Linked DNA regions of Arabidopsis thaliana. The protein of the gene in region 1 interacts with the protein of each later gene in a pairwise test. Each region holds a gene or a part of one and is shown in the gene's direction. Other genes may lie near its edges.

The links.
Region 2: the proteins of AT3G56370 (region 1) and RXW8 interact in a protein complementation assay, tested with the Arabidopsis thaliana proteins (one large-scale study listed by BioGRID).

What each region holds. Positions count from the first base shown.
Region 1 is NC_003074.8:20,893,056-20,908,599, reverse strand, and holds AT3G56370 (Leucine-rich repeat protein kinase family protein), read left to right. Parts: upstream 1-5,519; 5' UTR 5,520-5,765; intron 5,766-6,139; 5' UTR 6,140-6,209; coding exon 6,210-7,639; intron 7,640-7,732; coding exon 7,733-9,197; 3' UTR 9,198-9,501; downstream 9,502-15,544. Other genes in the region: AT3G56390 (WRKY transcription factor-like protein), read right to left, coding at 1,010-1,246; RR17 (response regulator 17), read right to left, coding at 2,232-2,328, 2,433-2,506, 2,625-2,702, 2,797-2,876, 2,985-3,120; AT3G56360 (uncharacterized protein), read right to left, coding at 11,258-11,959; AT3G56350 (Iron/manganese superoxide dismutase family protein), read left to right, coding at 12,975-13,284, 13,390-13,436, 13,524-13,649, 13,980-14,036, 14,139-14,216, 14,338-14,445; AT3G56340 (Ribosomal protein S26e family protein), read left to right, coding at 15,257-15,259, 15,370-15,462.
Region 2 is NC_003070.9:21,724,990-21,742,112, forward strand, and holds RXW8 (GDSL-like lipase/acylhydrolase superfamily protein), read left to right. Parts: upstream 1-7,576; 5' UTR 7,577-7,814; intron 7,815-8,428; exon of another isoform or gene 8,429-8,465; 5' UTR 8,466-8,553; coding exon 8,554-8,834; exon of another isoform or gene 8,835-8,931; coding exon 8,932-9,078; intron 9,079-9,181; coding exon 9,182-9,245; intron 9,246-9,369; coding exon 9,370-9,579; intron 9,580-10,208; coding exon 10,209-10,403; intron 10,404-10,828; coding exon 10,829-11,127; intron 11,128-11,348; coding exon 11,349-11,625; intron 11,626-11,951; coding exon 11,952-12,227; intron 12,228-12,521; coding exon 12,522-12,755; intron 12,756-12,840; coding exon 12,841-13,018; intron 13,019-13,096; coding exon 13,097-13,176; 3' UTR 13,177-13,761; downstream 13,762-17,123. Other genes in the region: RBP1 (RNA-binding protein 1), read left to right, coding at 2,385-2,606, 2,690-3,550; AT1G58525 (GDSL-like lipase/acylhydrolase superfamily protein), read left to right, coding at 4,924-5,167, 5,261-5,391, 5,480-5,704, 5,807-6,062, 6,183-6,355. UniProt on the Arabidopsis thaliana protein: Acts as an osmosensitive calcium-permeable cation channel.

The sequences.
Region 1 (15,544 bases):
TTTTCCTCAACAAGTATATATACATATATTGCTAAAGAGAGTGAGGAGATAGGAGAAAATGCAGATAGAAACTGTTCACTTCCTTTTACGCAAGGGCTTAAACATCTCAAGTAGCGACTATATATGTGTACAAAGTACAAGTCGACGAATTGGTCCTTTTCTAATCTTTAATTTCTTTGTATTATAGGGTTTGAAAAATATTATAAAAGGAACAATGCACTAAAAGGAGTCCCAATATAATTAGGGATAAGTGTCGTGTACTGGTCATAAAAACACAAAACCTTGGACAAAGGGACAAAATGCAGATGAGACACGAGACATGATACAAGTGACACAGAACAGTCTCTTTTGGTTTTGATTCATTGGTTGCAACACAACAAAAGAAAAACCCCAAGCTCCTCACATTCTGAACCTATCTACAACAAAAATCAAGTAAAAAATTATTTTAAGGACTTGTTGGGTAAAAAACAAAAACAACTCGTTGTTTCTAACTAGTTTCTTGAAACTCTTTGATATATGATGATCATTATATTTTGAAGCAATAAATTCATGCCTCAATATTTAAGGGCCTTTTACACTAAAATTTTCTAAGTCTTTTTACCATAAATATTTTCTGTAGGGTCTTTTAAGAATTGCTTTGGGTTCTTACAAACTAATTAGTATTTCTAATAGTAAATTTTGGTTTAATGTGAAATGTTTTTTAAAAATTGAACTTTTCAACAATTTTTGGATTTTTTTTTGTTAAAGTGTATTTTTGAAAAAAAGTTGTTGTTAAAGTGTATTTTTAGAGGTTTAATGTATAGTTTATTATTATTTATGATTTTTCATAATGTACAAAAAGGCTGTTTTTAAGCTTTGTTTAGGGTATCCAAATATGTTAGACCGGCACTGAATGTTTGTATTTACCTTCTTCGATGCCTTGGTCTCGAGGTTTCATTACCCTCCACTGTCTGCATAACTGGATACATTAACCAGTGGTCCTGCATCAGACTCGGTTCAATCTGCATCGTCAATTCGTCATATCCAACATTAAAACCGGTTCCGGTTCAGGCTGGTACTGTGACAGAGAGTTCCTCCACGCTAGTAGGGTTTTCAGCCGCTCGTTGACGTCTCCGAATAGAGTGGATATCGAGCTTAGAGAACTCGACAAATCTGATTCTGGTGACTCTTGTGATGATAAACTGAACTCAAGCTCCTTGACCAGATTGATTCCGTTGAATATCATTGACATTAATATCTCCTCCATCGTTTGATTATATCAATTCTATTGTGGTTCGATTATGCCTTCTTTTAAGTATTCACACAAAACATATGTAACACTTATTTTTTACCTTACAAATTTTGTTTTTTGCTTCACCTGTTTGTGTATGCATCTATATACACACATAAAAATATATTATAGAGCAAGAGGGACATGTAAAGAAAGATTGGATCCTATGTTGATTCGAATTTGAAAAAACAAAGATTGTGAAATATTTCAGAATGCGACGTATACGTAATACAATCTCCAATCATATAATGACTTTCGTCTCAATTCTTTTATTTGCGTTGACATATTGGCAAAACATGGATTAATTAAACTAAACTTTGCAATTGCTCCATCCCCATAACAAACACTTTAGTAATTGATTTCTTAATACTTAATCGATGTGACAAGAAGAAGATAAGGACTAGGCTTGTTTTTTTTTTTTGGTTAACAAAAGTGAGAACATGTTTTAAAGCGTTAGATCATGTTTATGTTTTCTATCGTCCGACAATTGATTTAACTTTTTTTGGAGGGTAAGTGTTTTGATAAACACGATAGAAGAAGAAGCAGATGCACCTTGATTTCGTCATCATAGTCTTGTTTTCAATATTTGTAGCTTTTCAACGTTAAAGGCGATCTTGGAAGTCCATGCGAAGACTTGGGAATTAAATGTTGAAATAATTGTCTGATCAAATATAATGGGCCCAAAAACGATTAAACAGGACCCACAAAGCTAAACTGCCAATAATGAATTCTAGATTTCTTGCAATCTGACCAAAAAGAACATTTCTAATTCATAAAACTAATCTACTCAGAGAGATCCTTATTGGGCTTTTATCTCTTCTCCACAAATCTTTAAAGATCAAGACAATCTTTGTCATTGTTTAGGAATACATCTTTAATTTTCTCTTATATTAGAGAACACAAACAAAAAAAAAAAAAAAAAAAAAATTCTATGAGCATTTGAGTCTAAGCAGATCTACCTTCAGCTTCTGCAATTTAAAAGATGGCATTTCAGTTTCTCTACATCAGATAGTTTCAGTGGCTTCTGCATAAACATCTGTGCTCCACTCGCTAAACATCTGTAATATCATCAAGAGATTACAGAATCTTAATTCACCATTGAGGAAAACAAAACAAGAGAACAGAACAATTAAGCAATGTGTCTGAGGAATGATAAGTTTACTTGTTGATGCGGGTAGGAATGTTCTCTGAAGACAATATCACAACAGGTACTTCCTTTAGATTCGATGATTCCTGCTGCCAATAATAAAAACACCATAGAAACAGAGACAAAGAAAGAGATTTTGTTAGTCTATATAACTCTATATTGATCTTGTCAAGAGGACTTTTCATTTGTGAGAAATTTCTTACACACCTTCACTTTCTTAAGCAGCTCAAAACCTGTCATTCCTGGCATACAATAATCAGTGATGATGAGATTCACCTTCATTACCTGAAAAAACAGTCTCAAAAGGTCATATTGGATGTTATACAAATGTCTCCTCTCCAAACCAATCAGAATGTTTCATGGGGAAGATTGAGCTTACATTAGTCAATGAATCAGTCTGTTGTGGATCTCCCAAGCCTAAATATTCTAAAGCTCTAAGCCCGTTTTCTGCAGTTGTCACTGTACAGAAAGTAAAATCAATTTCTTCATTTCAGAGGCAATGTTACCATATAGAAGAAATCTTGGTTCTTGAAATTTAGAAGGAAAAAAATTTGAATGATAGTTTACCTTTGCAAGAAGAGATCTTGAGGATTCTCTCAACAAGTTTACGGTCAATTAGATTATCATCTACTGCTAAAACATGAAGCTCCTCCTCCATTGACGATAAACAAGAATCACTTCCACTTCCACAGCCCTTATTCATCTCCTACGATTACAGAGAGATATCGTTTTTGTTCCTTGTGAGTCAAGCAACAAAGAACAAAAATCTGCACAAGAAGGAGGAGAATAAATGAGTCAGACACTAATACATTATACTGCTTTTAATTCTCAAACCTAAAGAAAACAGAGACAAACTTACAGAAGAAGGAGAGAAAAACAGAGAAATGATACATTAAAAAGATTTGAGAATGGATGTGTATATATATATATATATATATATATAATTATGTTGTTAATTTATATATGGATATATAGGATAACAATATATCAAGAAATGATTTGATATGATTTTATCTTCCTTATAATTTAAGATACAACAAGTTGTGGTTTTGTTCTTGGTATTTGATTCTCTGGAAACTGGTAAGAAACTTGGTGTTTTATGTCAGTGACAGTGCTTTGTGATCTTGTACGATGATAACGAAAATCCAAATATTAATTTTTAATTTCCCATTTGTTTGGCTTTTCTAATCGTGCGTATAATGAAGATGCAAATTTATAATCATATTTAATTTTCAAAATGGATCACAAATCTGTATCAGAATCTCAGTTACGAAGTCCCCATGATTCTCTAAAATTTAAGATATATTATCATTTTTAGTATTTGAATTTTTAAACTATGGGCTTGTTCGATGTGTATATTATTATTTGTCAATTTTAATTATCGTGAAAACCTCAAATTTTAATACGAAATCTTTGACCGATATGATAGCTGCATAGTTGCATGGGCCAGCCTTGTAACGCGTTATAAGTAGCTGCGAGTCGCATTTCTTTAGTTCAATTTGTTTTCTTTCCTGAAATATAATTCGGACTGTAGAACTTTGATAAGCCTTATTATTATCTGAGCCCATTTATCGTTTCTCATTAATGGGCCTCTAATGGAAGAGTTGGACCCATCTTATCCGTAGTTATTTACCATGGAATAAAAAATGAAACTGTAAGTAATCAATAATTAAATAAATATAAGAAAATTTGGAATTTTACATCACCGGAAAGTAAATATTTTACCTTTTAATGGCTGGTCCTAAATGCCAATCCTGATATGACAGAGGAAGATTCGAGTAAAAATTGAATGTGGAAATAAATACTAACTGTAGAAAACAAACAAAGGGTAAATTCTTCATATAGATGGAAAGCGAAGAACAGTAAATGTGAATTCGCTACGGTCCGGCTCACACTGCCCAAAAAATTCCTCGAAAGCTCTTAAAAACAGTAGTAAATTTGACCCTATATTTTTAGAATACATTAAAAAGTAAAAAAGGCCTCTTTGTTAAATTGCAAATAGAAACAAATAGTAAATTCCAAAATTTCCATGAAGGGTTGTTTTCCTTCCATGGGGAAAAGAGTTATTTTTCATTGTTTATTTCATAATAAATAACTTTTACTGTCAAAAGGAATATAAAATTTTAAAACATAGGTATGGGAGAGAGACCGAAGTCTGATAAAATGTCTTGACTCGGACCAAATCTCAAACGAGAAAGACAACAATTAAAAAAATTCCAAGAGCATGCTTAACGGATTATAATATTTTTTTCAACATCATTTGTTCTATTATCTGTTTTTTTTAATGTTTTATTTTATGGCAATAAGTGTTTGACACTTAGTTATTCAACCGCATTTCAATCTGTAGGAAAAGTTTACATAATGTATGATTCCTTGCACAAACAGAAGATCCAAAATTTACATCTGTAGCTCCTCCAAGTCAACCAAAATCCTTAGGTTTGTGATCCAATTTCAAAACCCCATAATTTTTCAAGAAAATTTGTAAACCCATAATTAATAAGTTTGATGCATTGACTACTGACCAGGACATTGTACATAAATGAACAATAACATTATGGTTGCAATTATTAATGATCTCTAAGCACCACAAAATATTTTTTCCAGGACACCATCATCATTCCTCACCAACTTACTTTAATGTTCTTACTTCAAAAAACAAAATAGAGAATCAAAATAAAAAAATGAAAAACCAAAACTATGGTGACCACTTTAACCACTGTCTCTTTCTGCATAATTTTTTACCCAAAATACCAATTCTCTGCATGAGAATAACAGAACCAACCACATTCCACATTATTTCCATTTTATGTGAAAGATTATTTTCTAATTAGTTGAATCATACCAAGAGGCCACAGAGCAGCATGTAAACCCATTAAAGAAAGTTTCTATTATTTGGGAAGGATAATTTAGTCATATTCAAATTTATAGTTTCTTTCTTTATGAGTTGGCCAATCATTTATTCATTTTCCCACTTACTATACCAACACAAAATAAAAATAAAAGCCACGTGTCAGCCAAGTCGGATTCGTCAAACCCAACAAAATAAATACACGTGTCAATTAAAGAGTTTTAATGAGTCCACCCACCTTCCTCGGGCCCCACACTCTCTTCTTTCCAGCCCGTTGATAAAGGCAGCTTTTAATTACTCTCTCTGCTCTCTTTTTTTTTCTTTATTGGCTTTTTTCTCTTCTTCCCAAATTCACTCTTCTTTTAAAGCTACAAAACCTAACAAAGTTGAAGAAGAAGAAGAAGCTCGTGCTCTCTCACTTTCTTTTCCTACGGTGTTTTTTTTCCCCCTGAGCTGCAACATTCTTCGTCGGAAATCTTCCCGGAGAAAATTCTTACTAGGTGAGAATTCCTCATTTCCAGATCGTAACTGTCCAATGACTCCTTTACTTAAAAAAACTCAAGTTATTTTGCTCAACATTTACTTCAGCCATTCACTTGAAGGTTGAATATTTCTTCAATTTCTATGAATTTCAAGTAAACTGTAGCTACTTCTATTCATATAACTAGCCTTTGTTTTACCGGATTTTTCTTCATTGTTTTTTGCTTTGTTTTGCTTCCTCCGTTGGCCGAAATGTAGCCGTTGAGATAGATTTTTGTTCTTTTCTTCTACTAAATCTAACGCCTAAGAATACGAACAAACAAAGTTTTTGTTTTGAGATGTACTGTTTTTTTTTTTCTCTTGTGTTCACCAATTTTCTTCTTTCTAATTTCAGCTCTACATAACTGAAAATGGAGGTCTTCCGCAACTAAAATCTGTTCAACGGAGAAGAGGGTTGTGGAAAGATGTACAAAGCACTGATTTTTACAGTCTTGTTGGTGTCGGCAGTAGCTCCGGTGAGATCTCTAGACCCGCCTTTAAACGACGACGTTTTAGGGCTCATTGTCTTCAAAGCCGATTTACGAGATCCAGAGCAAAAGCTAGCTTCTTGGAACGAAGATGACTACACTCCTTGTAGTTGGAACGGAGTCAAATGCCATCCGAGGACGAATCGAGTCACTGAGTTAAATCTAGATGGCTTCTCTCTGTCTGGTCGAATTGGTCGTGGCCTACTTCAGCTTCAGTTTCTTCATAAGCTCTCTCTGTCCAACAACAATCTCACGGGAATCATTAACCCTAATATGCTGCTGAGCCTTGTTAACCTTAAGGTTGTTGACTTGAGTAGCAATGGCTTGTCTGGTTCGCTTCCTGATGAGTTTTTCAGGCAATGTGGGTCATTAAGAGTTTTATCTCTGGCGAAGAACAAACTAACGGGGAAGATTCCGGTTAGTATAAGCTCGTGCTCGTCTCTTGCTGCTTTAAACTTGTCTTCCAATGGTTTTTCTGGTTCTATGCCTTTGGGGATTTGGTCTTTGAACACTCTAAGATCACTTGATTTGTCGAGGAATGAGTTAGAGGGAGAGTTTCCAGAGAAGATAGATAGATTGAACAACTTGCGTGCGCTTGATTTGAGTAGAAACCGGTTATCTGGTCCTATTCCTAGCGAAATTGGGAGCTGTATGCTGCTGAAGACTATTGATCTTAGTGAAAACTCTCTATCAGGAAGCTTACCAAATACATTTCAGCAGCTCAGTTTGTGTTATTCTCTGAACTTGGGAAAGAATGCGTTAGAAGGTGAAGTTCCAAAGTGGATAGGAGAAATGAGGAGTCTTGAGACTTTGGATCTTTCCATGAATAAGTTTTCAGGGCAGGTTCCAGACTCCATAGGCAACCTTCTAGCACTGAAAGTTCTCAACTTTTCTGGGAATGGGCTTATTGGTAGCTTGCCGGTCTCAACAGCCAACTGTATCAACCTCTTGGCCTTAGATTTAAGTGGGAATTCACTAACTGGAAAGCTTCCCATGTGGCTATTTCAAGATGGTTCTCGTGATGTGTCTGCATTAAAGAATGATAACTCTACTGGAGGTATCAAGAAGATCCAGGTTTTGGATCTCTCCCACAATGCATTCTCTGGCGAGATTGGAGCTGGTCTAGGAGATCTTAGAGACCTGGAGGGATTGCATCTGTCCAGAAACTCTCTTACCGGCCCCATCCCCAGTACCATTGGGGAACTAAAGCACTTGAGCGTCCTTGATGTGAGTCACAATCAGCTCAATGGAATGATTCCTCGAGAAACAGGTGGAGCTGTTTCTTTGGAGGAGTTGAGACTTGAAAATAACTTGTTGGAGGGAAATATTCCATCTTCCATCAAGAATTGCAGTTCCCTTCGGTCTTTGTAAGTCTCTTTTGCTTTAGGTTGCATTCTGTTAAGATTTTCCCATTGAAGATTATGTCTTAACTGTGTTCTGTTTCATGCTTCTTTCTACAGGATCCTGTCACATAACAAGCTGCTAGGCTCAATTCCACCAGAGCTCGCTAAACTTACAAGACTCGAAGAAGTCGACTTATCATTTAATGAACTGGCCGGAACACTTCCTAAACAGTTGGCTAATCTCGGCTATCTTCACACATTCAACATATCTCATAACCATCTCTTTGGGGAACTACCTGCAGGTGGAATCTTCAACGGTTTATCCCCAAGTTCAGTATCAGGAAACCCGGGAATTTGCGGTGCTGTTGTCAATAAGTCTTGTCCTGCCATCTCCCCTAAACCGATTGTGTTGAATCCTAATGCAACTTTCGATCCTTACAATGGTGAAATAGTGCCTCCAGGTGCTGGTCACAAAAGGATACTGCTTAGTATATCTTCTTTGATAGCCATTAGTGCTGCTGCAGCCATTGTGGTTGGTGTAATAGCCATCACGGTACTTAATCTGAGAGTGCGCGCATCAACGGTTTCAAGATCAGCAGTACCGCTCACGTTCTCAGGCGGAGATGACTTCAGTCGATCTCCCACTACTGATAGCAACTCAGGGAAGCTGGTGATGTTCTCTGGTGAACCTGATTTCAGCACTGGAACACATGCTCTGCTTAACAAAGACTGTGAGCTTGGTCGAGGTGGATTTGGAGCGGTGTACAGAACAGTTATCAGAGATGGGTATCCTGTAGCTATCAAGAAGCTCACTGTCTCGAGTCTTGTCAAGTCTCAGGACGAATTCGAAAGAGAGGTGAAGAAACTTGGAAAACTCAGGCATTCGAATCTGGTTAAACTCGAAGGATATTACTGGACAACTTCTCTCCAGCTTCTGATCTATGAGTTTCTCTCTGGTGGGAGTTTATACAAACAGTTGCACGAAGCACCAGGAGGTAATAGTTCGCTTTCTTGGAATGATCGGTTCAACATTATCCTTGGTACAGCGAAATGCTTAGCTTACTTGCACCAATCAAACATCATCCACTACAACATCAAATCGAGCAACGTGTTGCTAGACAGCTCTGGTGAGCCTAAAGTAGGAGACTACGGATTAGCGAGGCTGTTACCTATGCTAGATAGGTACGTGCTGAGTAGCAAGATACAGAGTGCGTTGGGATACATGGCTCCAGAGTTTGCTTGTAGAACGGTGAAAATAACAGAGAAATGTGATGTTTATGGATTTGGAGTCTTGGTCCTTGAAGTGGTTACAGGTAAAAAGCCTGTGGAGTATATGGAAGATGATGTTGTGGTTTTGTGTGATATGGTGAGAGAAGCTCTTGAAGATGGAAGAGCAGATGAATGTATTGACCCAAGGCTGCAAGGGAAGTTTCCGGTAGAAGAAGCGGTTGCAGTGATAAAGCTAGGGCTTATTTGCACTTCTCAGGTTCCATCAAGTAGACCACATATGGGAGAAGCTGTTAACATATTGAGGATGATCAGATGCCCTTCAGGGAGCTCAGATGAGTTGGGTTCAAGTTGAAAAGAAGGTTAAAGACTAACATGTTTTTTCACCAAGTTCCGGCGAAGAGGAATCCGGTTTGTTCATTTGGGGGTTTTAAGAGAAATCCTTGTTTGTGTTTGTTTTTTGATAATCTCTTATGTGTTATCTTTTGTGTCTGTTAGTTTCAATTTCAATGTTTGTAGCTTCTTCTATTTATTGTTCTTGTAACATTTTTAGGGCTGTATCGGATTTGTCTTCACCGGGTTCCATAATATGGGACTCTTTCGATGAAATCTTAAGTATTATTATGAAAGAAAGCCTGTAGTCTTCATTTCAGGTTCTGAACCATCTTTTAGCAGTCGTAGAAGATAAGAGCTTTCTTGTGAGACAAATAAAAACTTAGGGTTGAGAAAAACAAGAATCAAGATAAAACTTAGTGACTTCGTGTGATGATGCTCTCTGAACAAAGAGAGTATAAAATAACTTAAGAAGCTTCATTTGTTGTAACCATGTGCATGGGACTCTGTGAAAACTCAACAATTTAATGGGTCTGATCTTTTATTGGATTATGGGAATCGAAGAAACGTCTCAAGAATCTGTAATTAAAATACATTATTCATTAGTATCTTTTTGAGGGATAATATAAGTACATTTTTAACAGAAGAACCCTAGTTTCAATGGCCGATAAAAGAGGAATGGAGCATGCCTTGTCTGAAACAGACCACGTTTTTCTCTCTTGGAGTTGGGAAAGACGAAATTAGTACTACAATCTACGTTGTCTAGCCTCGGTAATTTGCAACATTTTGACATTTTAACTCATAAGTTAAAAATCCATTTCAATATTGTACATGATAGCATTAAAGTGAGATGGCATCTAACGTTTTGACTTTCTAAGCCAAATATGCTAACACTTTTTTTTTCCATTTGAAATGGAACCTGAAAAAATAAGTTACTTAAGGGACATTTTCCATTTATAATTTTTTTCTTTTTCCATATACAGCTTATTATTATATTACCGATCAATTCTTCGGTTTATAACTAGGTTGGAGAAAAAAATAATTCATCTTTCTATACACATTTTTTCATGTCATTAATATATACAGCTTATTAATATATGAGTTAATTCCTCTAGGTTAGCTTATACAGTATATATGTCATTTTCATTTATTGGATTATTTCCAAAAAAATCCCAAAAAGGAACCTTGTATAAACCAAAAAAATAAAAAAATAAGATTGTGAAATGTTAAAAAAAAAATATATATAATGGTGATCATAATTAAGCCATAACTTAAGAGTCTTAGATGGTGATGCCAATAATTTAGAGGTGGTTGATTAAGTGTAATCATTCACTTCCGTAAGTCCGATCGTGAAATGTCTTGTGCTGCTAAATGTGTATCGCTTGTCAAAGTCATAAACAATGAAACTCCTTGGCCCCTTTAGATTAGCTTATTGTATGTCATTTCAATTTATTGGATTCTTTCAGAGAATTCATAAAAAAGAAGAAAATAAACATTGGATCATTCATAGCCCATAGGAACAAAGGCCTATACCTTCCATATATTTACGGGCCTTAAAATCTAAATCCAATATCCAAATCCATATAAATGATCCAATCAAACAATCCATAATTTTCCATCACGACCATGTTTTATTCATTTTCTCTCTTTTCCATCTCCGGAGATCGACTCCGGAATTTTCCGACGGAGGTTATGAACTCTAATGCAACTTCTGGCAGTATCAGCTATAGGCTTTGCACTATGATCACTAACAGAAGTTTTAAATCCACCTACACTTTTGCTTATTGTGGTGTTAATGAATGCATAATTGCATATAGATCTTACACGGATTAAGTTGTCTACTTGTCTTGATTCAAATCCTCTATACTACAATAGCAACAAAACTAACAATGTTCTTTGATTAAACAAATCACTATAACCAACCAACTTTGACCATTTTATTTACATTTATATCACCAATCCAAATTCCTAAAAAATGTTCTGTATTAATAACAAATGTAATTTGATCATCCATAAGGGTTTCATAATCAAAACCCAAAGAGTATAAATAATTTACAGTGCAAATCCTTTGACAATCACTGCTCATTGACCAGTCTGCACCAACCACGAATTATTCAACTGTGACATAGCCGTTTCCCTAAAACTCTTGACCTTAACCAAACAGAAATGGGTGCAAACCGTACCCATACCCGACCGGACCCGGGTCGTTTTCAATAGATAACAAACCGGCCCAGTATCCGATCCTCTTCCTTGCGCCACAATCCCCCACGCGCTTGTATCTTCCCCACACGCGCCACCATCGTGATCATCATCATCTGCTATGTCACCGTCTGCGAGCTTCTCCACCAATATAACTCCTTCCGGCGTCCTCTCTTCTCCTCTACCCCACTTTCCTTCCATCTCTGTCCAATCCTCCGCCTTTGGATTCGTTGCCGTCGTCGTCAAACCACCATTAGCCTCCGCGTATAAATGCATCAATAACGGCGACTCTCTAAGATTCTTCACGATCTCAACCACCGAATCTCTCAACCACACATCTAGCTTCTCCCTCGACACAACAGATCCACCGCGTTTCCTTCCACCGATCCTTTCAATCTTCACCGCCGCAGACGGTGGTGACAAATCCTCCATCGACATCGAAATCTTCCCGATCGCACACATATTCCGTCGATTCGTCACTGGAACAACACATGACGATCGAGAATTCAAATTTAACGTGCGACGATCACAACGAACGGCGCATGCACTTCCTCCTCCGCAACAAATCCTCGCAGACGTCGCCATCTTCGCCTACCGGAAGATTCAATTGCAGAGACGAATAGGAATCGGAGAAGATATGCTGCGATTAGATTGGAGATTGCTTCACGCTGACGAATTCTCTTATAGAGTCAATCACACCAATGGTTGCTTTTAAGAATACGTTTTACTGACGCAGCCACACACAATCCAATGGCAATGATGAATTATTAAATACCTAATTTTTTTATTTCTCCAGCACGGAAGTTGTGTAAGTTGTTTGATCGGACGGTTGAGATTTAGAGATGGTAGAAATCGCGTTTATCTTATTCTTCACGTTATCCTCAAAAGTCTGAGGTGGCTTAAGTAGGTGATTATTCCCTGTAAAGTGTTGACGATATAGACTAATTAGATATCAGATATGGACCGTTCGATGTAAATCTAACGGTTGCTATTACGTGAAGCCGGTACGAGATGGAGAACGTGGCGACGCGGTTTAGCTGTGTGCATGGCTTGGGCGGGCACACGCTGGTACTGGATTTAAATTGTGGTGAACACGTGTTATCTCTGTTATTTATAATCTAGACCATAAGATACGCCACGTCAGATTCCACGGTGGACAATGTCTTTTAGAATAGATTGGGCCCGTCGTTTTTTATTTTTGAGGAAAGTTTCGGCCTTTTCGGTATGGCCCAGACCACTAAACTATTGTTATACTTATGTGCGTTGATCTTTCGCATATAAGGATTGGATCATTGGACTGAGGTTTGGAATGTTAGGTGCGTTTTACGTTTCTCCTGCCATAAACTACACAAAGACAAAAGCACATGCAAAAACAACATAAATATGCATCAACCTAAGGTTGCGACACAAATCGAGCAACTATGCAAAACGCTTAAAGCCATGAAGCCTTAGAGATTGACAAGTAGATCAGTCAAAGTTTACGTGGCTTAGTAAAATTATATACTTTTGTTTGCTAAGAAAATACTTTTATATACTTATCTGAATAAATCCACCTCTCGCTTTATTTCTATTTTCTAGTGTCTACATATATAAAAAGATCATGACGACCACCGTTATTATCATTATCTTCGTTGCCATCTTCGCTACGACTCTTCACGACGCCAGAGGAGCAACCATGGAACCGTGTCTCGAATCAATGAAGACTGCTTCGCTTCCTGATCTTCCGTATGCTTATGATGCGCTAGAGCCAGCAATCAGTGAGGAGATCATGCGGCTACACCATCAGAAACACCACCAGACTTATGTCACTCAGTACAACAAAGCCCTCAACAGCCTTCGTTCTGCCATGGCTGACGGTGATCACTCCTCCGTCGTCAAACTCCAAAGCCTCATCAAGTTCAACGGCGGAGGTCAAACCCTAGCTTTAAACGACTAAGTTCTCATTAAATTCTTCCGATAGGTGCTTGTTGATCGTAAGGATTTTGATTTTTTTTTTTCTGTTGCTTTGCTTGTAGGGCACGTTAACCATGCAATCTTCTGGAAAAACCTAGCCCCGGTTCATGTACAAAAATGTTTTTTTGTCGTCACTCCATGTGTCTATTTCTGATGAGTTTAATTGTCTCTTCTAAGGGGTCAAATTGATATATAGGAAGGAGGTGGCAAACCACCGCATGATCCTTTGGCTTCGGCGATCGATGCTCATTTCGGATCACTAGAAGGATTGATCCAAAAAATGAACGCGGAAGGCGCTGCTGTACAGGGATCTGGATGGGTGGTAAGTTTTTTTTCAGAATCTCATTAACAATGTTGGGAACACAATTATTGGTTTTCAGATGAAAGTTTATAAAAATTTCTGACAGAATATCAAAATTCATTTCAATTTGAATTGGATATGTGATGTATATAGGACTCTGTTCGAAATGAAATTGAAAAACATTAATTTCAAAAAAGGTGTTAAAAAGGAAAATCTAAACGGGACAATAAGTTTGGTTAGTGTATAGTGTAGTATTAGAAATATCTATAATTTCATTTTTGTTAATAAACAGGAACTTTTGTATTTCCTTGTGTAGATAAAACCAATGTTTATATTTTCTTTGTTTTATAGTGGTTTGGATTAGACAGAGAGCTTAAGAGACTTGTCGTTGAAACCACAGCCAACCAGGTAGATTAATGTAGTGATTAAGCTAATTTGTAACATGGTCTATCTCACAAGGATTTGGGAAAAAGAAAAGAAAAAGATTTGATAGATTGGTCGAACATACAGGATCCATTGGTGACTAAGGGATCACACCTAGTTCCTCTAATTGGGATTGACGTGTGGGAGCATGCCTACTATCCACAGGTACTCTAATCTCAATTATAATACTCCTTGATTTGATATCAGGTAGAGTAATATCGGTTTTATTAGTAAAAGAACTGTTTGATTGAATATTAACATTGATCAATGGGTGCGGGTAATGCAGTACAAGAATGCAAGAGCGGAGTACTTGAAGAACATATGGACTGTAATCAACTGGAAATATGCAGCGGACGTCTTCGAGAAGCACACTCGTGATCTTGATATTAACTGAGTTTTATATGTCTGTAGTAGCTTTTGTTTTTTGGGTTTCTTGTCTTGTTGATAAATACGGCAGTACCGAAGATGCAATATTAAGTTTAAGATGCTATGTATGTACCTTGGAAAATAACGTTTGTTAAGCTTTTTTTTCTTGTTTTAGAAGTAAAAATAAAAATAAATCTATATTTCTTTTGCTCTGGTTTGACTAAATGAAATATTTGTAAATATATAAGATGTAACAAATCTATAAATATATAATAATTAAAGTTTAATATTTAAGATTATATAAATGAAATTTCCGGAGCAGTTTTTTTAGTTTTCTTCCATAAATCAGTACTCTTAAAATTGAGTAGATTATTTTTTTCTTCTTCTTAGCATCTCACTTTTATTAGACTGTAAAAGGGTGGTCCAAATAGTTCGCCAACCAACTTGGTGTTACTGTAAAAGTTTGATATATTGGGTACATCGTAGAAGCATGTCTTGAGAGCATATCCGCAGCACCATCATTTTTCTCCTGATTCACATGTCCCATAAAAAATTACGGTAGTTTCGACATCCAGTGACGTATATGATATATGCATAGACACGATTAGTTTTCAACATGTAAACAAATTTTTAAAAAGTTTTAGTGAATTAATTTCTCAAAGTTTCAATGTACTGGGCTTGCTCAGGCCCAAATATAACCCATTCCTAATAAAACCTAGAAGAGTCTGCATATATAATAGAATATTTCGCAAATATTAGGGTTCCTGCACTCTTCTTCTTCCCTGTCGCCGCATCAAAGAGAACTGAAGCAATAGGCTTTTGAAGCTCTCTGCATAAACATGGCAAGTTTTCTCCTTCTTTGTTAGATTCATAGTTTAGAACACAGAATCAAGCTCACAGTGATTTTGAAAGCGAAATTGTGTATTGAATTCGAGTTTGCTTTTTATTGCAGACTTTCAAGCGCAGGAATGGTGGCAGGAACAAGCATAACCGTGGTCATGTGAAACCAATCAGGTGTTCCAACTGTGGAAAGTGTTGCCCCAAGGTTCATTCTCCTACATAATCATTTCCCGGTTCTAGATTTGTCTTAAGATTGAAAATGTATCGATCTGGTTTTGGCTCTCTTG
Region 2 (17,123 bases), on another chromosome or scaffold:
CAGTCTATCGTCCGTAATCTGCGTCTCTATAGGTATACACACATCCATCGCTTCTGTCATTTTATCTCATGTATTGAAATTTCATATGATTTTCAAATATGTACTATAAATTTTTACAATATTTAGATAATGTTAGATATTGGCTCATAAGAGAAAATAGATTAGGCAGAGCGAATCAAACAGTTTAATAGGATCAAGTCGAACAATACAAATCATGTGATTTTGGCGAAACAAGTGCATATCAACCGGTTCTTACAGTCCAAAAAAATTTTAAATGGTGAAAGAAGTTTAAGTCATACGTATCAAATATTTATATTACAAACACCCTATTTTATATAAATAATTTTACCAAATTTATACAAATTATATGAAATTAAATTTTGCTAATTTATAGAATATTATACCGATTAAAATAATTATACACATTATTTAGTATTTTAGATATAAAAGAATAACACATAATGTTAACAATTATAACCATAAAATAAGTGCAGATGAATTAAGCTATCTACTGTATTAACCTAAAAGTTCATGTTGACAAAACAAAATACATAATCTTCTGACTTATTTCAAAAATTAGAAGTATTGAGCTAAAAAAAAACATCACAACCAAAGCAAATAAGCAGTGTATTTACTGTACAAGGCAGATCACAAAATCAAAACAAAATACCATTTGAAAACAATTTTGACCCATGAAAAATGAAAAAGCTCAAAAATCTCAAAAAAAAAAAGACAATAGACTAAGTGAAGCAAATGATTAAAATCGATGATGCAAATGGAGGACTAGTTATCCAAATTAATTTTCTTTTCTTACTTTCTTTTAAAGCTGCTTGTTCTCTTCATATGCATGAATTGTAAATTATTTGTGGTACGTCCGTTTTGCTTTTGAACCTTCTTTAAACTAGTTATCCATCAAACAAATTGTAGCAGTTTTAATTATAGGTATGATTTCAGTTGGGATCTTTCTATTTTGTTGGATTCTTAGGTTTAAGAAGTATACATATTGAATAAAAACATAATCTAGTTTGGTTAGGATGAATTTCTCAGATTTGAAAATTAGTAAATAAAATTTAATATTAACAAACTTGATGTCATCATTTAGACCAAAGCCGAAGCACATGAGTACACAATCTTTGTTTTTGATAATTACGTCAAATATGTTAAGATTTTTTTGCTTTCTTTTTTTTCAAGATATACTCAATTATAACAATATTTAAAAACATGAGAAATAATGATTTTTTTTGTTTTTTAAACAATAAAATCACTCGTTTACATTGTCACAATAAAATTAGCCGTTACACAAATTTATTCGGGTTGTTATTTTTTTTTCTTTTCATAAGTGGATATTGTCTTAATGAAAATTCATATAATTTTTTAACCCCATAATACTATTTTGATAATAGTTGACTTCATATACTTATAACTCTTTTTTTTAGTTAAATTATTTTTTCAATTTTATAATCCAACGACCCATCCAATATGTTATAGCCTAATAGGACGTATTCTGTAGCTAGATTTCAAATACAAAACTTTTTGTGAAAAGATTTGGTGTAGTTTATTGCATTTGTTTTAGAGAAAAAAAAATATTAAGTTCTTTAAAAACACACATAAATTGGGCTTTATAAATAAACAACCATAAATAATAAAACATAATCCAATTTTATAAAAAAAAAGTTTTTAAAAAAAAATGTAGTTATTACTTCTATGAATTTTTTTATTTATAATATACTCATCCAAATTATGCAAAACCTCAAGCTAATCTTTACAAAATAAAATATTTAAACAAAATGTAAATATTCTCTCTTCCAACGAGGATAACATTTTTTTAAACCAAAAAAAAAAAACGAGGATAACATTAAACAGAACATCAACAAACAATACGATAAGATTTGGGCTTACAATCTTTATCACAAAGGCTTTTTTAAAGCCCATTAGTTACATTCATCATTATCTCTCGACATTAAAAAAAAAAAGTTAAACTGAAGAAGCTAAAAAGAGTTTTTAACTTTTAACTCTCTTCGTCTTCTCCCTCGTGCCGTGTCAAATCAATCTACTGTTCTCTCTCCTATCTGGTAAACTTTTCCTCTTCGCCATGAAATTTTTTTCTTGCTAGGGTTTTAGTTTCTACAGTTCGCTTCCCAAAAATTAGGGGTTTTGTCACAATTTCTCAATTTCTTGTTCCATTTTTCTTCTTTTCTCCATAATCATTGCTTAATTTAGAATCCCAAATTTTACAAATTAGGGTTTTTGTTTAATTTTAGGGGTTTTTGATTTTCAACTGTTAATAGTGTTCTCGATGTCATAATTCTGATTTTTTTTATTATCTATTCCGAAATTAGGGCAAAAATCTCAGACAAACCTGCAAAATTAGGGTATTTGAGGATATGGATTATGATCGGTACAAGTTATTTGTTGGTGGTATTGCGAAAGAGACAAGTGAAGAAGCTCTGAAGCAGTATTTTAGCAGATATGGAGCTGTGTTGGAAGCTGTTGTAGCTAAAGAGAAAGTCACTGGAAAACCTAGAGGTTTTGGGTTTGTTCGCTTTGCTAATGATTGTGATGTTGTTAAAGCTCTTAGAGACACTCACTTCATTCTCGGTAAACCCGTAAGTGTTACCGCCTTTTTATGCTTGTGTCAATTGGGTTTTGTGTATACTCTGTGGATTGATTATGTGTGTGTTTGTATTAGGTTGATGTGAGAAAGGCGATTAGGAAACATGAACTATACCAACAGCCGTTTAGCATGCAGTTTTTGGAGAGAAAAGTGCAACAGATGAATGGTGGTTTGCGTGAGATGTCGAGTAATGGTGTGACCAGTAGGACTAAGAAGATATTTGTTGGGGGTTTGTCGTCTAACACGACTGAGGAAGAGTTTAAGAGTTACTTTGAGAGGTTTGGTAGGACTACTGATGTAGTTGTGATGCATGACGGTGTGACTAACAGGCCAAGGGGTTTTGGGTTTGTTACTTATGATTCGGAGGACTCTGTTGAGGTTGTTATGCAGAGTAATTTCCATGAGTTGAGTGATAAACGCGTGGAAGTGAAACGGGCAATACCTAAAGAAGGAATCCAGAGCAATAACGGTAATGCTGTTAATATTCCTCCTTCCTACAGCAGCTTTCAAGCAACACCTTATGTCCCTGAGCAAAACGGATATGGGATGGTTTTACAGTTTCCTCCTCCTGTCTTTGGTTATCATCACAATGTCCAAGCCGTTCAATATCCTTATGGTTACCAATTCACAGCACAAGTGGCTAACGTTTCATGGAACAATCCGATTATGCAACCCACCGGTTTTTACTGTGCTCCTCCTCATCCTACTCCTCCTCCCACCAACAATCTTGGTTATATCCAATACATGAACGGGTTTGATCTTTCGGGTACGAACATTTCCGGGTACAATCCTCTAGCATGGCCTGTAACGGGGGATGCAGCTGGTGCGCTAATACATCAGTTTGTAGATTTGAAGCTTGATGTCCACAGTCAAGCCCATCAGAGAATGAATGGAGGTAACATGGGAATACCATTGCAGAATGGTACATATATATGACAGTTGCAGAATGATAAATGCAAATAGGCTCACAAGGGTAGTGAAATTCTTTGGACTCTTTTAAATGGTTTTTTAGGTTCCTCATCTTTCTTCATTAACTCTTTGGTAAATGTGTTGGGTTGGTTTGGTTACCTTGTATATTGTTTAGGTATTTGATTTTAACCCCAAGACTTATGTATCATATATTACTGCATTTGTAATATATCACACTCATTTAGTTCATTTTGTTGCTTTTATGGTTTTGTTGATTTTGTGGTTTCGTTGATTAAATTGGCAATGATGTTTTAAATTCATCAAGGAAAACAAAGAAATAGATTGTCGATTAAACAGTAGAAAAAGGAAATAGTTTTGTAGAAATAGGAACTGAATCTGGAAATCTCTAAGAATACCATATTGTAGAAAGAAAATAAATCTGAGACGGGAGAAACTATCGAGCATCCTTGAGCTTTAAGTTGGAGAAACCGGGTAAGCGTTTGTGGGATTTTGTTGTAAGATTGAACGCACAGATGTCCAGGGATGAACTTTCGAAGTGACAGACCCGATCATGGCGGGTGAAATAGATGGAGTTTGGATTGAAAGTTACAATCCAGTGAACTATGTAAAAGAGCTTTTGGACGTAGATGGTGTGTGGTGTGGTAGAATCAAAGGGCTTTCAAACTTATTTATTTTCTGTATTTGTGGGCTTCGATAACAAGAGGGAAACTCAATGCCATGAAGACATATGTGGTACAAAACCAAGTGAGAGAAGTCATGGTTAATATTATTTAGCAAAAATACAAAGTCATGGTTAAAATCTTTATTTAATTTGTTTGAGACAAATTGTGGAGAATTAGTTTTCAAGAATCTATTAACCATTATAAAATGTTTCAATTTTTTTTTTATGTAAATGTCTTTACTTTTCTTTTTGTTAGGCAATGCAACAAATCATGAAATCGAACGTAATGTGTGGTTGGCAGCACCTAAGTTACCGTTGAGTGTTGTTGACAAAAGAGAAAATTTAAATTTATATTACCATATTCTGAGAGATCATGTTCAATTACACTACCATATTACTCATACTTTTCTTTGTGTCTTCATTAATTTACGGTTATATTTATGAAATTGGTGTTAATGCCAAACATAGTATATTCACGTGATAGACCATTTTGTTACCATGTCATTGGTAAGAAATAACAGTTAAATTTCGTTATCGTTCCAACTAATATCAAAGTAATAACTAATTCGAGATTTCATATATAGAACCTAACAACTGTTGTTTGAAAGAGTTATTTTTAGAAGTCCAACAAATCGAAACCATGTATATATGTGCACATGTCTTTGAATGTAAAACGCAAGCCAATCTCGAGCAGAAAAGTTACAAACTAAAGAAGAAGATGAAGCTTCAAATTCTATTGCTTGCTTTGGTTTTAATCGCTGTTGAAGCGAATGCAGTCAAGCAAGGGATAAACGCAACGATCCCAGCGCTAATAGTTTTTGGAGATTCAATAATGGATACAGGAAATAACAATAATCTTCCGACTCTTCTTAAATGTAACTTTCCTCCATATGGTAAAGATTATCCTGGAGGCGACGCCACTGGAAGATTTTCTGATGGAAGAGTTCCTTCTGATCTTATTGGTAACTATTTGAATTAACTTTTATATTTTTCAAAATTATAAATCATATCTATTTATATATATAATCTGATAAATATGTTATCAAATATTTCAGCGGAAAAGTTGGGATTGGCTAAGACATTACCAGCATATATGAATTCATATTTGAAGCCTGAGGATCTTCTTAAAGGTGTAACATTTGCATCTCGAGGAACTGGTTATGATCCATTGACAGCAAAAATTATGGTACCATATATCTTATGTTTTTCCATCACGACTGTTAGTTGTTTTTATGGGTGATTCCTTTTTGTTACATTTATGTTTATTTTTGTAGTCAGTGATATCGGTATGGGATCAACTCATATATTTCAAAGAATATATATCAAAGATCAAGAGGCATTTCGGAGAAGAAAAAGCCAAAGATATCTTGGAACATAGTTTCTTTCTTGTGGTGTCTAGTAGCAATGACCTTGCTCACACTTATTTAGCTCAAGCTCATAGATATGACCGTACCTCTTATGCCAATTTCTTGGCTGACTCTGCTGTCCATTTCGTGAGAGTAAGTATTTTATTCGTAGTTATATATAATAATACATAAACTAATCAATAATATATTGTTATATCCACTAACTATTTTATCTTATCTATAACTGATAATTAGGAATTACATAAGCTTGGAGCTCGAAAAATTGGAGTGTTTAGTGCAGTCCCCGTTGGTTGTGTTCCATTACAAAGAACAGTTTTTGGAGGTTTTTTTACAAGAGGATGTAATGAACCTCTAAACAACATGGCAAAACAATTCAACGCAAGACTTTCTCCAGCATTAGATTCTTTAGATAAAGAGTTGGATGGTGTTATCCTTTACATTAATGTTTATGATACTCTTTTTGACATGATCCAACACCCTAAAAAATACGGTAAGTTCATCTAACAGATTTATCTATATAGAAACTATATATTATAATTCATTTTTATTGTCGAACTAAATTTTATTCCAATTATCTCATTTCTTTTAGGTTTTGACGTAGCCGATAAAGGATGTTGCGGTAAAGGACTGCTCACAATATCCTATTTATGTAACTCATTGAACCCATTTACGTGTTCTAATTCTTCATCATACATATTTTGGGATAGCTATCATCCATCTGAAAGAGCTTATCAAGTTATCGTCGACAATTTACTCGATAAATATTTGAGCAAAGTCTATTGATGTTGAGGAATCAAAGAAAATTGTATCTTTTTGTTTCAAATTTTTTTTCATCTTAATTCATGTCTCACTATGTATTCATATCTTAAATTTTAAATATTCATTCTTTTTCTATAATAATATTTGGTGGGATAAAGATAAATATTTTCAACGGAAAAATATACAATCAAATAGTGGAATTTTATACGTTTTAGACTATTTTATTCCTTTTGTAACATACTAGTATAATAATACCCAAAATAGTATACATATGTTACTTTCATAAGAAAAAAAAAAAAAAACTATTCTACAGTACTTAGGCCTGGGCAAAAGAACCGCTAACCGATTAACCGAACCGAGCCGAACCGAAAAACATGGTTCGGTTCGGGTTTGGATAGCTTAAAATAACCGGCTGGATATTATATGTTTTAGATTTCGGTTTCGGTTTTGGTTAGGTTAGTAACCGATAACCAAAGGATAACCAAAGCATATATGTATGATAGATAATATATCACATATATTGTATGTATTGACACTTAACTATGTTCTTCTCTTTATTAGTTTGCAAGTTGAATTTTGTGAGTTGTGAATCAGGTATTTTAATATTATGGAGAGTATGGACCATATTTGCATCTTTGTGAGTTGTGAATATATCTTTTTTTACGTACGTTCTATATCGGTTATTGGTCAATTTTTTTTTTTTGTTTCGGTTTTTAGTCGGTTATTTCGGTTTTGGTTTATTTATGGTTACCAAGTTTAATATCCGAACCGAACCGAACCGAAAGATATCCGAATCGAACCGAACCAAAATTCCTCAAATATCCAAAATGGTTCTTATATTACTATAACCGAAATAACCGAAACCATGCGCAACCGAACCGAAACCGAATGGTTAACCGAATGTCCAGGCCTAGTAGTACTATATTGAATAAAACTTTTATGTCATACTCATGCATATCTCACTTGCAACAAGAAACACATGAATCCAAAATCCATGATTCCTTCTTCACCTTTCCTTTAATTTTTCAATAGTCATAACAGTTTTAACTAACACTTGAGCGAACGTTGTGAAAAAAAACGCACCCACACGTGTCGCTATCTTACCCATTCTATCACAAAACCAACGGTCATAATAAATTCGACCACAGAGTAGTCGCTCTCACATAGTATCAAATCTTGGAGCATCAACCATTTTATAACCGACACGTGGCCTAATCGTCGCTCCCTTCTTCACCGGCCACACAACGTGGCCTAATCATTTGTATTTAATTTTAATTATTTGCATGTTTTCATTTTAAGTTATGATTTGAATGAACTGGAAATGCGAACTCTTCGCGGAATTGGAATTTTAAAAGCAATTCGGTGTTTCATTTTTTTTTTTTTCTCTTCTCTTCTCTGCGAATTCTTAGGGTTTCTGAATCTTCTGGTTCTCTTCGCAATCGAATTCTCTGAAGTCAAACCAAAGTTTTTGGTATTTCTCTCTGTAAGTCATGTTTTTTTTTTTTTTTCTGAAATCTCTTCGATTTGGTTTATTCTGTTATACAACTTCGTGTTGTATCTGTAATTTTTCTGACGAATTGGATTTGATGATTTTGCTTCGATTGATTTCCCTGGGAATCGAAATTGTGTTTGTTTCACTGGATTTAGTGGAATGCGATTCTCTGATTCATTGTTTGTTCTACGTTTCCGCGTTTTCATCTATCGTAGTTCTACTTTATTGTTTAGGCACCATTGAAATTGCGAATCGTAATTTTGATTAACGGAAAACAGAAATTGATAACTTGAAATTGAATCTCAGTGCATTATGTTGTTTGTTATCTTTGGGTCGTATGTAACCAACTTATCTTCCTCTGCAAGTTTAGGTACTGATTATGATTTGATTCATGTTTCCAATTTTTCGTATCTGCAATGCAAATGCAGAAAGTTTTGGTTAGTGTTAAGATAGTTTGGATTCAACTTACACGTTTGATCGACGATTGTTTATCAGTCTCTTTCGCGGTGTTTCGTTAGCCTATCTGTTTTTTTAAGCATTGGATTTCAGGACTTTTGTTATTTCGATGTTCTTATCTTTTTTCTTTTTGTGATGTTTTCTTACAGTTTCTCCTGCCAATCTAAGAACCTCCTGTATTGCTAGGTTGGCCATCTTGTGACGAGACGACGTACTTATGAAGTTCTTCTCTTCCTGCGATTTTTAGTCAGGAAGGAGTTGAACTAAGATTAAGATGGAGATATCAGCTCTTCTTACATCTGCTGGAATTAATATTTCGATATGCATAGTTCTTTTATCACTTTACTCCATACTTAGGAAACAGCCAGCCAATTACTGTGTATATTTTGGCCGAAGGCTTGTTTGTGGTGGTGCTAGACGTTATGATCCTTTTTGGTATGAGAGGTTTGTGCCGTCTCCAAGTTGGCTTGTGAAAGCATGGGAGACTAGTGAAGACGAGTTATTAGCTGCTGCTGGTCTTGATGCTGTCGTCTTCCTTAGGATGGTCATTTTCAGGTTACTGAAAATAAACTCTCCCAGATGCTTTTTCTTTGTTCTGCTTCTTGGTTTTGTTCTGTAGTGTTTGTTTTACTTTGTGTTTTTTGTTCTGCAGCATTCGTATTTTCTTTATAGTTGCTGTTATTTGCATTGCCTTTGTGCTGCCTGTTAATTATTATGGGCAACCGATGGTGCATAAGGAAATCCATTTGGAGTCATCCGAAGTGTTTACAATTGAAAATCTTAAAGAAGGCTCAAAATGGTAAATGTTTTTTTTTATCTCTACCTATGTCTCTTTGAAAGATGTTACTCTATGCAGAGTGTGTAAAGTGCTGATTTTTTCTCATTACATTTATTGCTCTCAGGCTGTGGGTTCATTGTCTTGCACTGTACATTATAACCTCAGCGGCATGTCTTCTGCTCTACTTTGTGAGGACCTCGTACCTTAGTTTATCTCATGCATACAGCATACTTGAATACTTACTCTTGGTTCCTCCATGTATCTTCTTATTAGTTTATTTCCCAACCTTTTGACATTTTTTTTATACTGTAGGAGTATAGCACCATAGCTAAAATGAGGCTTGGGCATATTACTGGATGTGCCTCAAAGCCAAGTCAATTTACCGTTCTTATCCGTGCTATTCCATGGTCTCCTGAGCAATCTTACAGCGACACGCTGAGCAAATTCTTCACAAACTACTACTCGTCCAGCTACGTGTCCCACCAAATGGTCTACCATAATGGCATCATTCAGAGACTGCTGGTACGTATATTTCTTGGAACAGTCATTTTTAACTAAACTATTACGCAGGCCACCTTCCTCTTGCTTTACTTGTCAGATTAAAACCGTCACCTAGATTTATTTTAAAAAACTGTTATTGCTCTTTGTGAAAATGATTTGAAGTTTTGAACATTTTGCCAGCTTTAAGTGTTACTTCTTATTGCAGTATTCATTTTGGTTGATAGCTTTCGTAGTTGGTGTAAATTTCATGGTTCTGAATTGTTATGTGCTGCTTGGATGTTATAAAGGGTTATTTGATGACTAGATGCAGAGATTGATGATATTACATAGCACAGTAGATATAATAATGAAATTTAGTTCGTGTATCAGCTAAAAGGGGTACAGTTTAGATGCATATTCTGGGAATATGAAAGGACCTTCTAGAGCAACTCTGTCTGTATCCTACTGCTGGGCTTTCATTCTACTGCTTTCTGATACTGTGGTTATTTCAGTATCACTACATCAGTTTCTCATTTATTACCTGTCAGCATGTTGTAGAAATTGGGTAAATGATATGTGGATGGTTTGTGCTTGTGATAAAGTATTTGAAATTTAATGTTCTATGTCAGATAAAAAGTGTGACGTTTAGATTATTCCAATTTCTGTCTCAGCGTGATGCGGAGAGGATGTGCCAGACTCTAAAACACGTTTCTCCTGAAATCAATTGTAAACCGAGTTTAAGGCCATGCACCTTTTGTGGAGGACCTACAGCCACAAGTTCTTTTCATATCCTATCGAATGAGGCAGACAGTGTGAAAGGAATGGAGCTTGGTGAGTTGACTATGACTACGACTACGACAGAGCAAGTAAGGAATTCTTCTGTCTTTCCCTGATCTAGGCATAGGATGTGGATATCTGTTATTTCTTCTGTCCAGTGGAGAGGATCGTTTCAACTAACATTACAAACTGATTTAGAAGTTTCCACTGCATTTCTTCTCAGTTTTTCACCTGGTCCTGACAGATAAAGACTTCTTTTACTTTAATGGGATACAAATTGAACTTTGGAAGTGGCAGTCTGATTGTCTGATACTGCATAGACTTGTATAGTTTTGTTTACTCGGTACAGTTTTAAACCATCATTAATGATTTGTAGCACCATATTCGACAATTCAGTATAGTTAACTAAGATTTTTCACTTTTGTGGTAGCGATTAGAAGTAGCAATGCTTGATTTTAATTAGTCACAATATAGAATAGCTTACTAAAGCCACAAAATTTTCTGCGTTTTGCAGGAACGTTCAGCTGCTTTTGTGTTTTTTAAGACTCGCTATGATGCTCTTGTTGTTTCGGAGGTTCTACAATCATCAAATCCTATGTTATGGGTGACAGACTTAGCCCCAGAACCTCATGATGTGTACTGGAAGAATCTCAACATTCCTTATCGACAACTTTGGATACGGAAAATAGCAACCCTTGTTGGTGCAGTTGCTTTCATGTTTGTGTTTCTTATTCCCGTTACCTTCATTCAAGGGCTGACTCAACTAGTGCAGCTGTCTCACGCATTTCCTTTTCTAAGAGGCATCTTGAGCAAGTGAGTGCCCTGCTGGTTCCTTACGCATGTATATATATATGGTTTTGTTTCTTCTGGACATGATATTAGAATTGGCGTTAAAAAGTAGGCGGAACTCCGGTGCAGTATAGAACACACGAGCCTTCTCTATAGCTTTCAAACCATTGGAGAAATCAAAATTTATGTTCTTGATTTGTTTTATCATCTTTCAAGTTAATCGGGCCACCAAAACCATTTTGCAGGAACTTTATAAACCAGGTCATCACAGGGTACTTACCCAGTGTGATCTTGATTCTATTTTTCTATGCCGTTCCACCATTGATGATGTATTTTTCGGCCTTGGAGGGATGTATTTCACGGAGTATAAGGAAGAAGAGTGCTTGCATCAAAGTCTTATATTTTACCATTTGGAATGTGTTCTTCGTGAATATATTATCAGGGTCTGTTATCAGGCAACTGAATGTCTTTTCTAGTGTCAGAGACATACCTGCACAACTTGCTAGAGCAGTGCCAACACAGGTAATTTACCCATAGTCCTTTTACATTTCAGAGCAAAAGTTTGAATTTTGCTAATGTTCAGGTTTCTACAGTCTCTGAACATTAGCTAGGTTACATTTTGCCAAGATCTTGCAGCTTTCGGATTGGATATAGTGTTTTCTTGCGCTGGAACTTTAATAGTTTGTTCTTTTTCCTCGTTCCATGATAAAATTATATATCAGAGATATTAAAGCCCATTGGAGGAATTATTTGGGATTGAGCTTTTCTGGTTGCTTGTGTTTCATATTTATTAGGAAAAATGAAAATTGTATCATTGATTTTGAATATGGCTTTAACCATGTATGCAGGCTGGCTTCTTCATGACCTATTGTTTCACATCTGGTTGGGCCAGTTTGGCTTGTGAAATAATGCAGCCTATGGCTCTTATCTGGAATCTGGTAGCAAAAGTTGTTACCAAGAACGAGGATGAGTCATATGAAACACTTAGGTTCCCATACCACACCGAAATTCCTCGGCTGCTTTTGTTTGGGCTCCTGGGTTTCACCAATTCAGTCATAGCACCACTGATACTGCCGTTTTTGCTGATATACTTTTTCCTTGCATATCTCATATACAAAAATCAAGTAAGTGTGTTCTCTGATCTCTTGTACATAATATCACAGTTAATCTCTCCAAAAGCATCATAATGGACTTGTACCTAATTTGTGAAAGCTTAGTTACTTTGTGACCTGCATGTTTTAGATGGAAATTGGATTTGTGCTTTTCGGAATTTTGCTTCTGCAATGTTTATAGTCATGTACAATGTGATAAGAGCCATTAGTAGTGCCAAGCTCATGCATTGAGTAAAAAGAACTCTTGATATATATTTTTAAAGACAACCCTTTGTAGATGCTCAACAGAATTGTTTCTATTTGCAGATACTCAACGTGTATATTACGAAGTACGAAAGCGGTGGACAATACTGGCCTATTTTCCACAACACAACAATCTTTTCACTGATCTTGACACAGATTATAGCTTTGGGGTTTTTCGGATTAAAGCTATCAACAGTTGCTTCGGGTTTCACCATACCGTTAATTCTTCTCACGTTACTTTTTAGTGAGTATTGTCGGCAGAGGTTTGCGCCCATTTTCAACAAAAATCCTGCCCAGGTATATTAAATGTAACCAAAACCTTTGATGTTCCTACTGCAGTTTATGCGTCTTCTCGGTGCTTGATTGATGTGTTTCTTTTCAGGTTCTCATAGATATGGACAGAGCTGATGAAATATCAGGAAAGATGGAAGAGTTACATAAAAAATTGCATAATGTATACTCGCAGATACCATTACACTCTCAGAAATCATCGAGTAAAGCTGAATGTAGTAATCCTTTCAAAAAGCAGGAGTTACCAGATCCTGAAAAATTGAAGCCAGGTTTCGAGTTTATATCACTGTTTGTGTATGATTATAGATATCACTTGATTAGAGACTAATGAGATTTATATTTTTCAGAGGAGGGGGATGCGATAGCTAAAGAGTTATGGGGATTCCAAGGCAATGAATCTGGTCAAGAACATGACACTAAGTCCTGAGCATCTTTCTCCAAAGAAGATCGAACTTCACAAACGGAACTAGACAGATGTTTTTACTAGTGAAGTGCCTATGTGTTGGTTCAATCACAAAGTCTCCAACAAATCAGTGCATTAAGCACAAGAGTTCTCTCGTAGGCATGCTCAGCTGCAAAACCAATGTTACTGGGAATACTTTCACTCACTTGAAGAAAAGTAGATGTAAGTTTTTCTGGGATATTTGATAATTTCTTCAATGAAAATTCCTATACAAATTATATGGGGGAAACATGTACAGTCTTGTTGCCAAGATAAAAATGTACATCTTATAGTTACTGCAAGAAGAAATGGAACTTCTTTATAGAGCTCAGAGTATGAGAAACTAAAACTATCAATCTCTTTGATGAGATGGCCATTTTTCAGTTGTTCATCTATGGAAATTATGTCGTACGAAAGGTGGAAGAAGTAGGATATTGTGAGTTCCTAGCAGATAGGATTTATATACATAAGATCAGGGAAGTAAGTGGTGAAAAAGCAGAGATGATGATTTTACCGAGGAAAAACAAAAAAAGCGAGATGTTGACACATGTTATCTAATAAAATTTGAGAATTTTTAATTTTATTGGCTGATTTGTTTGGAGTTTAACTAATAACAATTGTTACATAATCTTAAATTAATTATATAAAAAAATTATGGTTTCAATTTACAAAAAGCTTAATATTTAACTTAGAGATATATTTTCCCTACTTTTTCCATAATATGAAGTTAAAAATAAATAAAACTATACTTATGCTAAATAATAAAACAAAACAATTGGAATTTTATTTCATTAGCTTATCTGGTTGGAGTTCTAATAATAACAATTGCTTGACATTTCATTTATTATATTAAAAAATAAGAATATTTATTTCCATTTAACCCATATTGTAACTCACTAGATTTTAACCCGCGGTATACCGCGGGGATAATATATTTTTTTAAAGTTAATATATAGAAAAATTTGCAACTTGTATCTATCTATAAAATATTTTTATTTTATAATTTACAATTGTTATTAAGTAACGTCCTGCCAAATCCGTCCCGCCAACCCGTCACGTAAAAATACTTATTTATTTTATTAATGTTGATTTTATTTATGGTATGTTTATGAATTATTGTCTAAATATTTTGTAATTTTGTAGTAATTAACTGATATCAAATATCTTAACGGTTTGATGCTTATAATCGAATTGTTATAGTTATGCAAAAAAGCAATATAAAAAATGATAATTTTGTAATTTTTAAATGAGGTTAAATATTTTGGAAGTTTTATTTTAGTAACTAATCGTGTAGTTAATGTAGAGAGATTTTGGGAAGATAGTTAAATGTCAAATATTTAATTCGAAGATTTACTTTCTAATTATCAAAAACAATTATTAAATGTTAGTGACAGACACTGTAAATAAGTCTCAACTTGAGGATTTATTTCACAAAGTGGTTGCAAAAATGTATATGTAGATGTGTAATGGATTCATGAAAATATCTAATAAAATATTTTTGTTTAAAAGTCTAACAATAATCTTAAACTGTTGAAAGCAAATTACCATAATGAAAAGAAATTAATTTGTATAATTCAAAATCATGTATCAAATGTATTATTATACATGATGCATATTAGTTCTTTTAATATAATTTTTGGGAAAAATCCAGTAAAAAAAACATTCAAGGTGATAAATTTTTTACTTGCTCTTAATTTTTGGTGAAGTGGGAGGGTTCATTTATTATTCGACTTTCAAGACAATTGGCAATACATGTATTTGCATTTCACCCAAAAAAGTAATATTTAAGGTTTTTATATTAAGTAAAACATAGAGTTTTCACAAAAAAAAATAAAACAGAAAATGAAACTTAGTGCATTGATAACTCATAATTAACTAAAGTGTCTGTTTTAAAGACATCAAAATTTGTAAACATCAAAATTAATATTTTTAATTATTTTCGAGTTTTATTTTAATTATTATAGATATAATTTATCGTTTTCCGTATATTTATCATATTTTGTATTTAGATAAGTTGGTGGTCCCATTTTTCATTGAAACTTATCTTAAATCATAGACTTTAAAAATTTTAACGTGAAAAATTGATCAATTTATTCAATTTTCAAGACGATTGGTAATACATGCATTTCCATTTAAAAAAAAAAAACATTCCTGACTATTTTAAGTTTTTTATATAGTAAAACATACTGTTTTCAAAAAAAAAAAAACAAATTAGTGCATTGAACATTTTTAATCAACTAAAGTGTCTTCTTTAAACACATCATAATTTATAAACATCAAACTCAATATTTTAAATTATTTTTGAGCGATATATTAACAATAATAGATAATTATTATATATACTTAATATAAATCATCTTATATTCAAAACTAAAACCGAACATATAATACACGCATAGCGTGGATAACTTTATAGTTTCTAGATACCTGAAGGTAAGTTTTTACAAGATAAACACAAGCACCAATGCACACAACAAGCGACTGTGGGATAACTTGTTGGGCATTCATCAGCCCATATCCTGCAAACAAATAGCCATCATGACCCCACATGTTCATCAATCTGATTAAGATATACAATCGCTATCAAGAAGAAAGCCAACGTGAGTGAAGCAGTCATAAGATATATGTCTGTCTCCAGCTTGAGTGAAAATTTCATCCAGTTGAAAAGATAGAAAGATGTCATAAATGGATAATGGATACCTTAACTTTGAAGAGATCATATTATAGGCATTCGGCTCTCTGCTGTTTGTGTTGTAGCTCTGATTGCTACCCTTATAATCCATTGACGTGGGATTGATTATTTGGAGGTAAGAACCATATGATATTTGCAATCTCTTAATTAGAGAAATTTCTAACAAATAAATTTTAAAAGAGCAATGATGAGGAACTAAATAAATCCAAATTCGTCACAAAATATTTGTCAACCGCTTTATTCTTAGAGAGGAGAAATAACTTGATGTACCCAAAAGACAAATATAAGAGAATTGCAATTACAATCTAACTTTTTGTTTGAAATTACCTCATTTTTGGCATGAATCAGGATACAATAGAAAGGGAGCGGAATTGGAATAAATATATAAATAGCTTTGTAGTCACATAAACCCTAGTAAAAAGTGGGGGTTAGTCCTATGTAGTCCTAAATGGCTAAACAATAGAGCAGTTTCAGAAGAAAAAAACCCTCTCATATTATATTATGTTAACAAAAATTTATAAAGTCAAAGTTCTTCGATAAGTTATAAAGAAAATTGCTCCCTCAAGCTGCATGATCTCTGTTTAAATATGGGTCTCCTTTAGTTTATTATACAATCCAAGTAAAAGCCGATCAAATCACTATAGGAATGAAAAAAAAAAGAGAAAAAAAAAGAAGTTAATCTAAGATGCTCGACCTCTCAACAAAGTATTACCATATTCTGAGATGTTGTGGTGGTAAAAAAGCCCAGCCCGACCTGAACCCAAAATAAACCCGCCCACCAAAAACCCAATTTTAGAAAACCCAGATGGGTTTTTAATTTAGTGGGTAAAGCCCGAAAAAACTTGATTGTTTCGAGACTACCCGTGGGTACCCAACTTGGTTTCTGTCATTTTCTTAGAGTTTATTTTAAGAGAATATTATACTCTAAGGCACTTTATTGAAAGTATTTGTGCGTTGAGACACTTTCAAAAGAAAGGACACTTTCTCCAAGTGAAATTCCTTATTTGTCCCTTAACCACATCTCTCTTTCATTTACCCTAATTCCTCTTGTTACGATTATTTTTTTTCTCCATCTCTAATCTGTCTCTTTCTCTCTGCGTACAATCCATTGAATTCATAGCAATTTCAGAACTACAAAACTACATCTTTTTTCTTTTCCCTTGTTCCCTTGAAGAACGAAATTTCACAATCAATCATTTGTTTTAAACAAAACTTCTCGCTCAAATTGATTTCATCTCTT